Macaca fascicularis: one gene and its partner. Each later gene encodes a partner of the first gene's protein in a complex. Links are inferred from orthologs where the notes say so. Each region holds a gene or a part of one and is shown on either strand. Other genes may lie near its edges.

Region 1 (4,687 bases):
ATGTGCCTTTTACGTGCCACTGAGAAAAAATAGATATTAAGCCAGACTTGCACCCAGCTCTCGAGTTGATAGCCAGATACGTGGTTATTCTAACACCTGAAAAACTGAGACAGGATCTATGGTAGTATATGCCTTAAAAAAAAAAACGAGCGGGGGACTCCGGGATGATTTTGTTGTCCTAGAACAGTGATCACAGCCTCACACTCTGCAGGAAGAGAAGACTGGGTCGCAAACAAGCCAGAGGCAAACCCAGAAAGGGAACTGGGGACTCTAATCCTATAAACGGAATTAAGGGTGTAAACGGAGAGCGATGCCAGGGAGTGGAGTACCTTGCAGAGCATGCCGGGGGTTGTAGTCGGGGACATTCCACTGCACCGCCCCCGCCTGGGCTCCCGGCGCTCCAGGTGGAGACAGCAGCTTGACCCCCGCCTCCCGCGAGCGGCCCTGCATGAAGACGCTAGCGCCCCCTTTTCCGAGCCTTAGAGTTTCCAAGAGCAACGGGGAGAGGGAGGGGGCTTCGCAGTTACCCTGGAGACGCGCTCCCGCCCGCCCCCAGCCGCGGGATGCCCTAAATGTCCTTATTAGGACATGAGACTCGAGGGGGCGGGGTCAGCCCGACCGCCGGCTTCAGGCTCCTTATAAGGCCGCGGCGGGCAGGAGGCGGGAGCCGGAGCCCATTGGTCCAATTTAGCCCGGGTGGGGCTACTGCGCCGTGGGCTAGGCACAGTCCTGAGGGGCGGGCCTGGAGCTCCGGCGCCCACCTCTCCCTTCCTCACAGCCTGGAGACCTGCGTCTCACGACTTCCGGTATAGCAGCTAGATGCCGGGTGCTGCTTCGAACCCTGGCGGGTCGCCTGTGTCCAACTCAGTTATACATGTCCTTGAGGCTTCTCAGGTTGAAACCCTTTGTAGGGTTTCCATCTTCAACCTCCCTGGGGGTCTCCCACTTCCGATTAGCCACAAAAATGACGAACTGTTCTCCCCTCTACCTGTGTCTGGGCTTCTTAACCCGCAGCCTGCTCCTCCGCCCCGGAACCCAACCACGTGCCCATCTCAGGCCTCCCCAACTGCCAGGGTGCCCAAGCACCTCTTACTTACAGTCCTCCTTCCTCTAGGCCTCTGACCCCCGACCTTCCGAGTCCTATTTTAGGCCTTCTCTGCACGTCCCCGACTTCCTTTCCACCATACACCCTGTATCCCGGGGATGAGGATGACCATTTCCTCCAAGGATCCTGCAGCTCCTCCTGCCTTACCTTTGTGTCCTCATCCCCAGCACCCATTTCTGGGTGTCCTTCCCACCAATACGTTTGCACCCGTTTGTCTCCCAGCCCTCGCCTCTCCTGGACTCTTTTCAAGACCAGTCTCCATCTCCAGCCTCCTTCAAGCTTGAGGCTGAAACTGGCAATCTTAAGAGACTTAGAGTGGCCAAGTTCAGGTTAGTCCGTTAAGCGCCGCCCAACCAGTCCTCCCCGTCACAGGGGGCGCTGTCCGCCTTCCTCTCGCCTACACAAAGATGACCCCGCTCTCGAATCTGGGGTGACAGGAAGGAGTCGGTCCAGGCTCCGGGGGCTGGGATTGGGCGCGTCCCGAAGGCTAGCTGGAGTGGTGCCGAGGGGAAAGATCGTTTAAGAGACAGCGCCCCTCACCAACCACTTAGAGCAGCGCAGGGGCGGGAGGGCGGCAGGCTCTCCTCTCGTTAGTGCCCCGTGTGTTTGGGGCCCTGTGATCTCAGCGGTCCTGCCCTCGGCCTCCCTCTTCTCCCGCCCCGCCCCGGGCCAGGTGTTCGAATCCCTACTCCAGAACTGGCGGCGTCCCAGTCCCGCGGGCGTGGGGCGCCGGAGGACCCGCCCTCGGGTTCATGGCGGCCCCGGTCCGCCTGGGCCGGAAGCGCCCGCTGCCTGCCTGTCCCAATCCGCTCTTCGTTCGCTGGCTGACCGAGTGGCGGGACGAGGCGACCCGCAGCGGGCGCCGCACACGCTTCGTGTTTCAGAAGGTGGGTCCTGGCGTGGCCCGATGGGAAAAGCTGCTGGCCAGGTCGGGCCTGCCCTGACCAGGAACCCTACCCCTGCCCGGCCAGGCGCTGCGGTCCCTCCGACGGTACCCACTGCCGCTGCGCAGCGGGAAGGAAGCTAAGATCCTACAGCACTTCGGAGACGGGCTCTGCCGGATGCTGGACGAGCGGCTGCAGCGGCACCGAACATCGGGCGGTGAGCGTCTGGGAAAAGGGTCAGTGCTCCCCTGCCTCCCCCCAGGTGCAGCTTCCGTACTCACCTGGAGGCCCTTAGCTTTAAGCTCCCCACTCCTGTCCAAGTTGCCGTTCGGCCTCGGGCTAGTGGCTGGCGCTCCCTGAGCCTCCCTCACCGGTTTCACTTATCATCTGAGCAGGTTGCATCCCAGACCTTCGCAGCTGCCGGATTCCGTGGAGTGTGGAGTTGACTCTCTTCTGCTCCCGCAGGTGACCATGCCCCGGGCTCGCCATCTGGAGAGAACAGTCCAGCCCCCCAGGGGCGACCTGCGGAAGTCCAGGACTCTTCCATGCCAGTGAGGAAGGGGCAAGGGGAGCGGAAGGCAAAGTGGGAGTGCGGGAGTATGATTTTCTGGCTTGGGAGATTTGGCAAGCCTGAGTCCAAATCTCACCAGTGATTCCTGGCCTTGAGCAAATGACTTACCCTCTTTTTGACTTTTTGACTTACCCTCTTTTTGACCCTCTTTTTGACTTTTTGAATTAAATTCACATTTAATCTGTGAATAGGAATATTGGTAACAGCCAACAAGAGAATTCCATAATCAAGCTACTTAGGGAGCCCAGCTCAGTTAGTTACGGGGTCACCATTATTGAGTTTTCCTGTCTAATCACACGTGTTCTGCAGCGCGTGGTAGAACTGAGGCCAGGCTGGGCAGACACCCCCACCCGCTGCCCGGAAACTGCCTGCTGTCTCATCGCACATTTGCAGTGGGCCATCCCATCACCTGGCCCGTTTTACAGAGAAGGAAACTGAGAGATAACTGAGTGACTTACCCAGGGCCACAAAGCCTGCTGGGGACTTACTCGAAAATGACTGGCTGGCTTTCACGTTCAGAGCTCCTCTGTACCTTTCAGGTTCCTGCCCAGTCCAAAGCTGGAGGCTCTGGCAACTACTGGCCAGCTCGGCACTCAGGAGCCCGAGTGATACTGCTGATGCTCTACCGAGAGCACCTGGTGAGCACTGGGTGGAACCATGGCAGTGGGGTGGGAAGTTCCCAGAGGTGCCTAGCCCTGGCAAGGCAGGCAAAGATTATCCCAGCCACCTGAGCGAGATGAGGAGGGTCCCTGGCACTGAGCCTACCCTGTCTCTTCTACCTTGGTTTCAGAATCCTAATGGCTACCACTTCTTAACCAAGGAGGAGCTGCTGCAGAGGTGTGCTCAGAAGGCCCCCAGGGTGAGCACAGGGATTGGGGAAGACAGGCCCAAGTGGCTCTGGAGCCCACCAAAGACTGCCTTTTCTTGCAGTGGGCCCGTGTGTGGCCCGTGGCTGGGGACACAGGGAACATGGACTTGTGGTGGTACCAGGTGCTCTCTGACGGTCTCTTTTCTGATCCACAGGTAGCCCCTGGGAGTGCTCGACCCTGGCCAGCCCTCCGCTCCCTCCTCCACAGGAACCTGGTCCTCAGGACACACCAGCCAGCCAGGTGGGGCCAACTGCAGGAGATACAGGAAAGCACACATGAACTTCTTAGTGGGGCCTTAGAGTCACTCAACAACTCCCAGAGCTGATGCTGTTGAGGTTGGGGGCCTTTCCTCAGGAGCCCCCACTGTTGGAGTACCTGGAGGGTGTGAAACCGCAGATGCGGGGGTGGGAGGGTGCCGTGGTTATTGGAGGAGTAGAAAGACTTTTCAGAGGAGATAGCGTTTGACACGTTTTAGGATTTGGCAGGTAGAGATTCAGGATAAGTATTTCGAGGAGGAGGAAACAGCATTAGTGAAGATAGGAGGAAGGAAATCGTCTGAGACACACTTCTTGCAGACCTGAGAATGGAGCTGAGCAGGTCCAAGGAACTGCTCTAAGAGCCAAGAAGACCAGGAGCAGCAGGAGCCACTGGGGTCATTTGTGCAGGGCGCCAAGGGGGCGGTGAGGCCAGCCCAGCTAGGGGCAGGCAGGAGAGCCTGCCAGGAATGAGTGAAGAAGGGAGAGCTGTATTTTTCCCCTCTGCCTCCCAGGTACTCATTGACCCCAGAGGGCCTGGAGCTGGCCCAGAAGTTAGCCGAGTCAGAAGGCCTGAGCTTGCTGAATGTGGGCATCGGGCTTAAGGAGCCCCCTGGGGAGGAGGCAGCAGTGCCAGGAGCAGCTTCAGCAGAGCTGTGAGAAGGAGGGCGGAGGAGGGGGGAAAACAGGGAGGTGGGGATGGGAAATGAGGCCAAAACCCCACCTCTATCCATCACCTGTAGCTGAGCTGTGGCTGCCTCCCTACTGTAGGTGGGTGGTGGGTGTCGGGTGGCATGGGTGTGGGGCAACTGCCCTAGCACAAGGGGTTCTGGCCTCACATACCGATACCCCCCACTTAGTGCCAGTGAAGCAGGGGTCCAGCAGCCACCACTGGAGCTGAGGCCTGGAGAGTACAGGGTGCTGTTGTGTGTGGACATTGGCGAGACCCGGGGGTGAGTGAGGTGGGGAGAAATGAGGTAGATGATCGGAGGAGGCTGGGGGGT
Region 2 (4,771 bases), on another chromosome or scaffold:
CTCAGGAGTCCCCTACTGCTGCTGGCTGAGGGTGCCACACCCCAAGCCTCCAGGTGGCAGTGGGGCCCTGGTGCTGCCTTCTGGCCCCTGCCAATGTGTGTGTGTGTGTGGGGGGGGGAGCACACAGCCCTGCTGCTGAGCTCCCCTGTGGCCCGTGTGTCCAGGACTCAGCACAGGAACCACCAGCCATCTGCCAGCCAGAAGCCCCTCTTCTCATCCCAACTACCTAAAACTTCCCCAGCAACCACCCACCCTCCCCGAGGTCAGACCTGCTCAGCCAGAGGCTGAGAACCCAACCCACGTATGGCTGGGGTCCTCCCCCACTGCGCCAGGGTATCTGGTCTGTCCCCAAGGCTGCATGCTGTCCTGGTGGTCCCATGTGTGGTCAGGAGCCCAGGTCCAGCAGGAGGTCGGGGTTGGCCGTGGTCAGGAAGAGGCAGATGCGGCGGGAGAGGTCAGGCCCCACCCTGCGGGGACGCCCGCCTTCACTGGGCAGCACGGGGAGGTCAGCCAGGAGGCCCATGCGCTCCTGCTCCGTGCTGCAGGCCTCGAGCGCCTAGGGGCAGGCGGAGGTATGAGAGGGTGCCTGGGGACTGGGCCTCTGCACCTGGAGGGGTTCGAGGAGGGAGGGGCCCACCTGCTGCAGAAGGCGAGGGGAGGGGAAGGCTGTGACCACCGCATCGGCCACGGCTGGGCTGACTCGACTAAACTGCCTGATCTGCCTCCGCCAGGCCCCCCGCAGCCCTGTGCCGTCTCTTGCCACCGGCTCGCCGGCTGCCCAGCGCCCTGCTGTGCAGAAGGAAAAGGCCTGGGATTCCCGGTACTGCCTGGGGACAGGGAAGGACAGGGAGAAGCCTTTTAGAACCTCAGCTGAGCAGCTCCCCATAGGCCGGGGAGGCACTGCCACCACCTTGAGGTGATCCTGCCCCCTGCCCCCTTCAGTCCAGGTGTCACGCACTTGAGGGGACACTGGGCGAGAGCCTTGGTGATGGCGCACACGTGCTGACTCAGCTCCTGCCACGAGGCCACCAGTAGCACGTCCAGGTTTGCCCAGAGCTGCAGGAGCACCAGGGCCTGGGGAGGAGGCAAGCTGGTGGGCACGAGCCAGAGGAAGGCTCCCTGGGACACAGCTGATAGCTGCGCCATGTGCCACGCTGGGAACCAAACCCAGCCAGCAGCCCAATCACCGGGACCCAGGCCACCTGACTCACCCAGCTCAGACAGGCCCTCACCTCTTCCACCTGCGGCCAGCCGATGGCCACCTCGGCACCGGCCACCTTCGGGCTTTCCGGCTGCTGTGTCCCCGGGGCAACGTGCTGGCGAGACCTGAACAGAGGTGACCATTCCTCCCTGTTCCCCATGGGGCCTGCCCTGCCCGAGCGTGGCCTCTGCCAGAGCCCACCAGGGGAAGTGGGATCAGCTATGCCACAGCAACCCCAGAAGTGTGCCCACCTCCCCTGAACCCCCATCCCAGCCACTCCTGCTGTGGGCATGAGTGAGTGGTACCACAGGTAGGCATCCAGCCCGATGACAGCCAGGTGGGACCGCGCGGTGGTCTCAGGGGAGATCCAGGGCACCCAGCGAGTCGGGCCAGAGATCTGAAGATGAGAACGTGTGGCACAGTTGTTCACAGGAGGCTGCGGCTCAGGGTCATGGGCCACCAGGCCACAGCTGGTTTGCAGAACAGCAACCCTGAGAAAGAGCCAGGGGTGCCCAGACGAGCCTGTTCTGTTACCCTTCGAGAAAACCAGCTCTGTGCCTCCCACGATGCCAAGGCGGCTAAGGAGACCCCTGGAGTGGCTGCCTGGGCACATCTCAGTTCCACTGAGCCCCTCATCCCGGTCCACCTCTGTATTCCAGCCTAGCTTTAACCTAGCACAAAGCAGGGCCTTGAGAGACTCATCCTTGGACACAGGGACCTGGCAAGGGTCTGGCCTAACCCCACGCTGCCTGGTGCAACAGCACCTGAGCACTGCTCCTTGCAGGCAGGGGCCGGGCTGTCCGCTGTCAGAGGACGAACACAGCCCGCCTGCAGCCTACTGCCCAGACCCCGGCCTCCTGGCACTTCTCAGGACCCTCTAGGAGCAGCTGTAGCCTCCACAGGAGGACCTTTCTCCATCTCACCCTAGAAACCTCTACGGTTTCGGATCAGAGAGGAATCCTGGCCTGCCCCATGCCCCCTCCAGCCCCGTCTACAAGGGCAGGGACCGGCAGCGCAGGCGCCTCCCGGCTGGGAACCCACCCGTCCTAACTGGAGACGGACTACTGCCACCACCCGAGCACCTGGGTCAGTGTGGCGACGCCCTGCAGAAACTCCTCGGGGTCCAGCAGCAGCAGGAATTCCTGTTCATCTGCAGTCCACACTTCAGAAGGCAGCTGTGGGGACATGGAGACGCGCTGCTGCCTGTCTCAACCCCGGGTGCCCCAGGGGCCCTGCCTGGGCAGTCTAGCAGCAACGCGGTCCGTGGCCCCAGCCAAGCCCAGGTCCTGACAGGACTGCTCTACAGAAGCCCAGGTCAGGTCTCTGGGGCCGGCAGGAATCCTGACCACAGCCTGACTCCGGCCGGAACCTTATCCAGCCAGCTCGGCTCTTTACCAGCAGAACGGCTTGGGCACCCCCACTTTCCGTTCTCCATCCGTGGTTTACCATCCGCGAGACGCGCACCGCCCAGGGACAGCTCCAGGACTGAAATCATGGAAGCAAAACAGCCAACTCGGGGCTGGCCCTCGGGAACCCGCGAGCACTCACGCTGCGGGGGCAGGGGTCGGGACTCGCTCGGGTCCACCGCAGGCTGCGGGCCGGGCGCTGGGGCTCGATGCGGCACTCGCAGCCCAGGGCCTCCAGGGCCTCCATCAGGACGTCGGCACCAGCGTCTTCCAGGATGGCTGGGACCAGGGGAGAGGAGCGCGGTCACTGCTTCCCTCCACCCTCGCGAGCGCCCTACCTGGGCGGGGGCGCGGACCCGGCAGCTTGCATTCGGCACAAACCCCCGACTGGGAAGCGCGCCCGGCCCCAGGACCCTCGGCGCGCGCGCCCCGCCCCGTCGGACGGAGGGCGCCGCCTGGCGGAGAAAGGCCTTTCCTGCCCCGAGCGTCGCCCGTGCCCTCCGCCGCACCTGGGTCCACGCACACCGCCAGGCGCTTCAGGACCTGCTCCGGCCGTAGCAGCCGCAACTCCTCGGCAGCCGCCCTGCGCTCCCCTGCTGGGTCCCGGGCTCTCGGGGCGGCCTCCGAGCCGGAGGGGCCCTCAGCGTCGGAGTCTGAGATCTCCCAGGTTGGAGGTCGCCGCTGACCGCTCCCGCCCCGTCCCCGGCCGCCGCCCTGGCGAGAGACCCCCGCCCTCCCGGGTCCAACCCGCGCCATGGCCGGACCGACTTCTTTTTCGCTTCCGGCCGCGCCCGAACACTTTAGCCTGGGACACCGGCCTCTTCCGGCGGCTTCCGGCCGCAGCGCTGAGGACGCGGGTCCGCCATGGCGCGGAAGAAGGTGCGTCCGCGGCTGATTGCGGAGCTGGCCCGCCGCGTGCGCGCCCTGCGGGAGAAACTAAACAGGCCGCGCGACTCACAGCTGTACGCTGTGGACTACGAGACCCTGACGCGGCCGTTCTCTGGACGCCGGCTGCCGGTCCGGGCCTGGGCCGACGTGCGCCGCGAGAGCCGCCTCTTCCAGCTGCTCGGCCGCCTCCCGCTCTTCGGCATGGGCCGCCTGGTCACGCGCAAGTCCTGGCTGTGGCAGCACGATGAGCCGTGCTACTGGCGCCTCACGCGGGTGCAGCCCGACTACACGGCGCAGGTGCGTGCACCCCGTCCGCACCCCGCCCCTGCAGCCGCCTGGTCTCCCCGCCTCCCCTCCTCCCTGCAGGTTTGCGTGTCTGAGGCTCCCACCTCCTGATCTCGGGGGCCGAGAGCCTTGCGAGCTGACCTCGCTTCCCTCTGGTTTTGCAGAACTTGGACCACGGGAGGGCCTGGGGCATCCTGACCTTCAAAGGTAAGGCTCGGGAGAGCTGGTGGAGAGCGGGTGCGCGGCAGTTCGATGCCGACCACCGACGGCACAGCAAATGTGTGTGCAGCACACCTCTTTTCCTTCATCAGGGAAGACGGAGAGCGAGGCGCGGGAGATGGAACACGTCATGTACCATGACTGGCGGCTGGTGCCCAAGCACGAGGAGGAGGCCTTCACCGCGTTCACGCCGGCGCCGGAGGACAGCCTGGCCTCCGTGCCGTACCCGCCGCTCCTCCGGGCCATGATTCTCGCAGAACGACAGAAAAATGGAGACACTAGCACCGAGGAGCCCATGCTGAATGTGCAGAGGACACGCATGGAACCCTGGGACTACCCTGCAAAACAGGAGGACAAAGGAAGGGCCAAGGGCACCCCCGTCTAGAATGCCAGAACCAGAGGGTGGCCTGAGGGGCTGTGAGGCAGCAGGGATCTTGTAGATGAAAGAAACCGTCTTCGCGTTACACCCGAGTCTGCCCCTCGGAGCTGGGAGGTCACCTTCCGCGACGTTTTCTGAGGATCTGCATTTTAGTGGGGAGGGCTGGGGCAAATCGCCACCTATGTTTTTCCTCTGGCCCTGCTGCCCCCACACCAACTCCGCAGGCTCACGCTGGGGAAAGCGGGAAGCGCTAACTCCCCTTCCCCCATTAGTGCTCTCTTTGCCTGGATCCCGGCAGAAGCTATGAAAGGGAATAAAGAGAAAAGAAGTACCCCGGGTTGCGGTGTCTGCGCGCTGTCTTTAGGACCGGGGAGAGAAGGGCTGATGTTGTGG

The links.
Region 2: the proteins of MUS81 (region 1) and EME2 are in contact, whole or in part, in a crystal structure (PDB 7F6L), measured with the Homo sapiens proteins. The link is inferred for Macaca fascicularis from reciprocal best matches to the Homo sapiens genes MUS81 and EME2. Residues at the interface, in NP_079404.3 of Homo sapiens: His330, Glu351, Phe354, Lys357, Arg358, Arg363, Val365, Glu381, Leu385, Gln386, Thr389, Asn390, Gln392, Val393, Ile394, Phe398, Lys400, Arg401, Tyr411, Leu414, Leu415, Arg417, Gly418, Leu419, Arg421, Leu422, Pro447, Ile464, Lys467, Ala468; in NP_001244299.1 of Homo sapiens: Glu140, Arg177, His179, Glu220, Glu221, Val224, Leu225, Gln227, Leu228, Trp229, Asn231, Leu232, Asp233, Leu235, Arg245, His246, Ala249, Val250, Lys252, Ala253, Leu254, Gln256, Tyr257, Lys260, Gln261, Glu264, Gln266, Phe268, Phe270, Cys271.

What each region holds. Positions count from the first base shown.
Region 1 is NC_088388.1:8,540,479-8,545,165, reverse strand, and holds the start of MUS81 (crossover junction endonuclease MUS81), read left to right. Parts: upstream 1-1,654; 5' UTR 1,655-1,857; coding exon 1,858-1,992; intron 1,993-2,076; coding exon 2,077-2,206; exon of another isoform or gene 2,207-2,225; intron 2,226-2,384; exon of another isoform or gene 2,385-2,454; coding exon 2,455-2,540; intron 2,541-3,099; coding exon 3,100-3,198; intron 3,199-3,350; coding exon 3,351-3,419; intron 3,420-3,583; coding exon 3,584-3,669; intron 3,670-4,198; coding exon 4,199-4,339; intron 4,340-4,543; coding exon 4,544-4,636; intron 4,637-4,687. UniProt on the Homo sapiens protein: Catalytic subunit of two functionally distinct, structure-specific, heterodimeric DNA endonucleases MUS81-EME1 and MUS81-EME2 that are involved in the maintenance of genome stability.
Region 2 is NC_088394.1:2,537,340-2,542,110, reverse strand, and holds the start of EME2 (probable crossover junction endonuclease EME2), read right to left. Parts: upstream 3,385-4,771; 5' UTR 3,364-3,384; coding exon 3,117-3,363; intron 3,039-3,116; exon of another isoform or gene 2,887-3,038; coding exon 2,750-2,886; intron 2,377-2,749; coding exon 2,284-2,376; intron 1,873-2,283; exon of another isoform or gene 1,838-1,872; coding exon of another isoform or gene 1,724-1,837; intron 1,599-1,723; coding exon 1,233-1,598; intron 1,075-1,232; coding exon 959-1,074; intron 828-958; coding exon 638-827; intron 557-637; coding exon 386-556; 3' UTR 1-385. Other genes in the region: MRPS34 (small ribosomal subunit protein mS34), read left to right, coding at 3,472-3,792, 3,945-3,987, 4,092-4,384. UniProt on the Homo sapiens protein: Non-catalytic subunit of the structure-specific, heterodimeric DNA endonuclease MUS81-EME2 which is involved in the maintenance of genome stability. In the complex, EME2 is required for DNA cleavage, participating in DNA recognition and bending.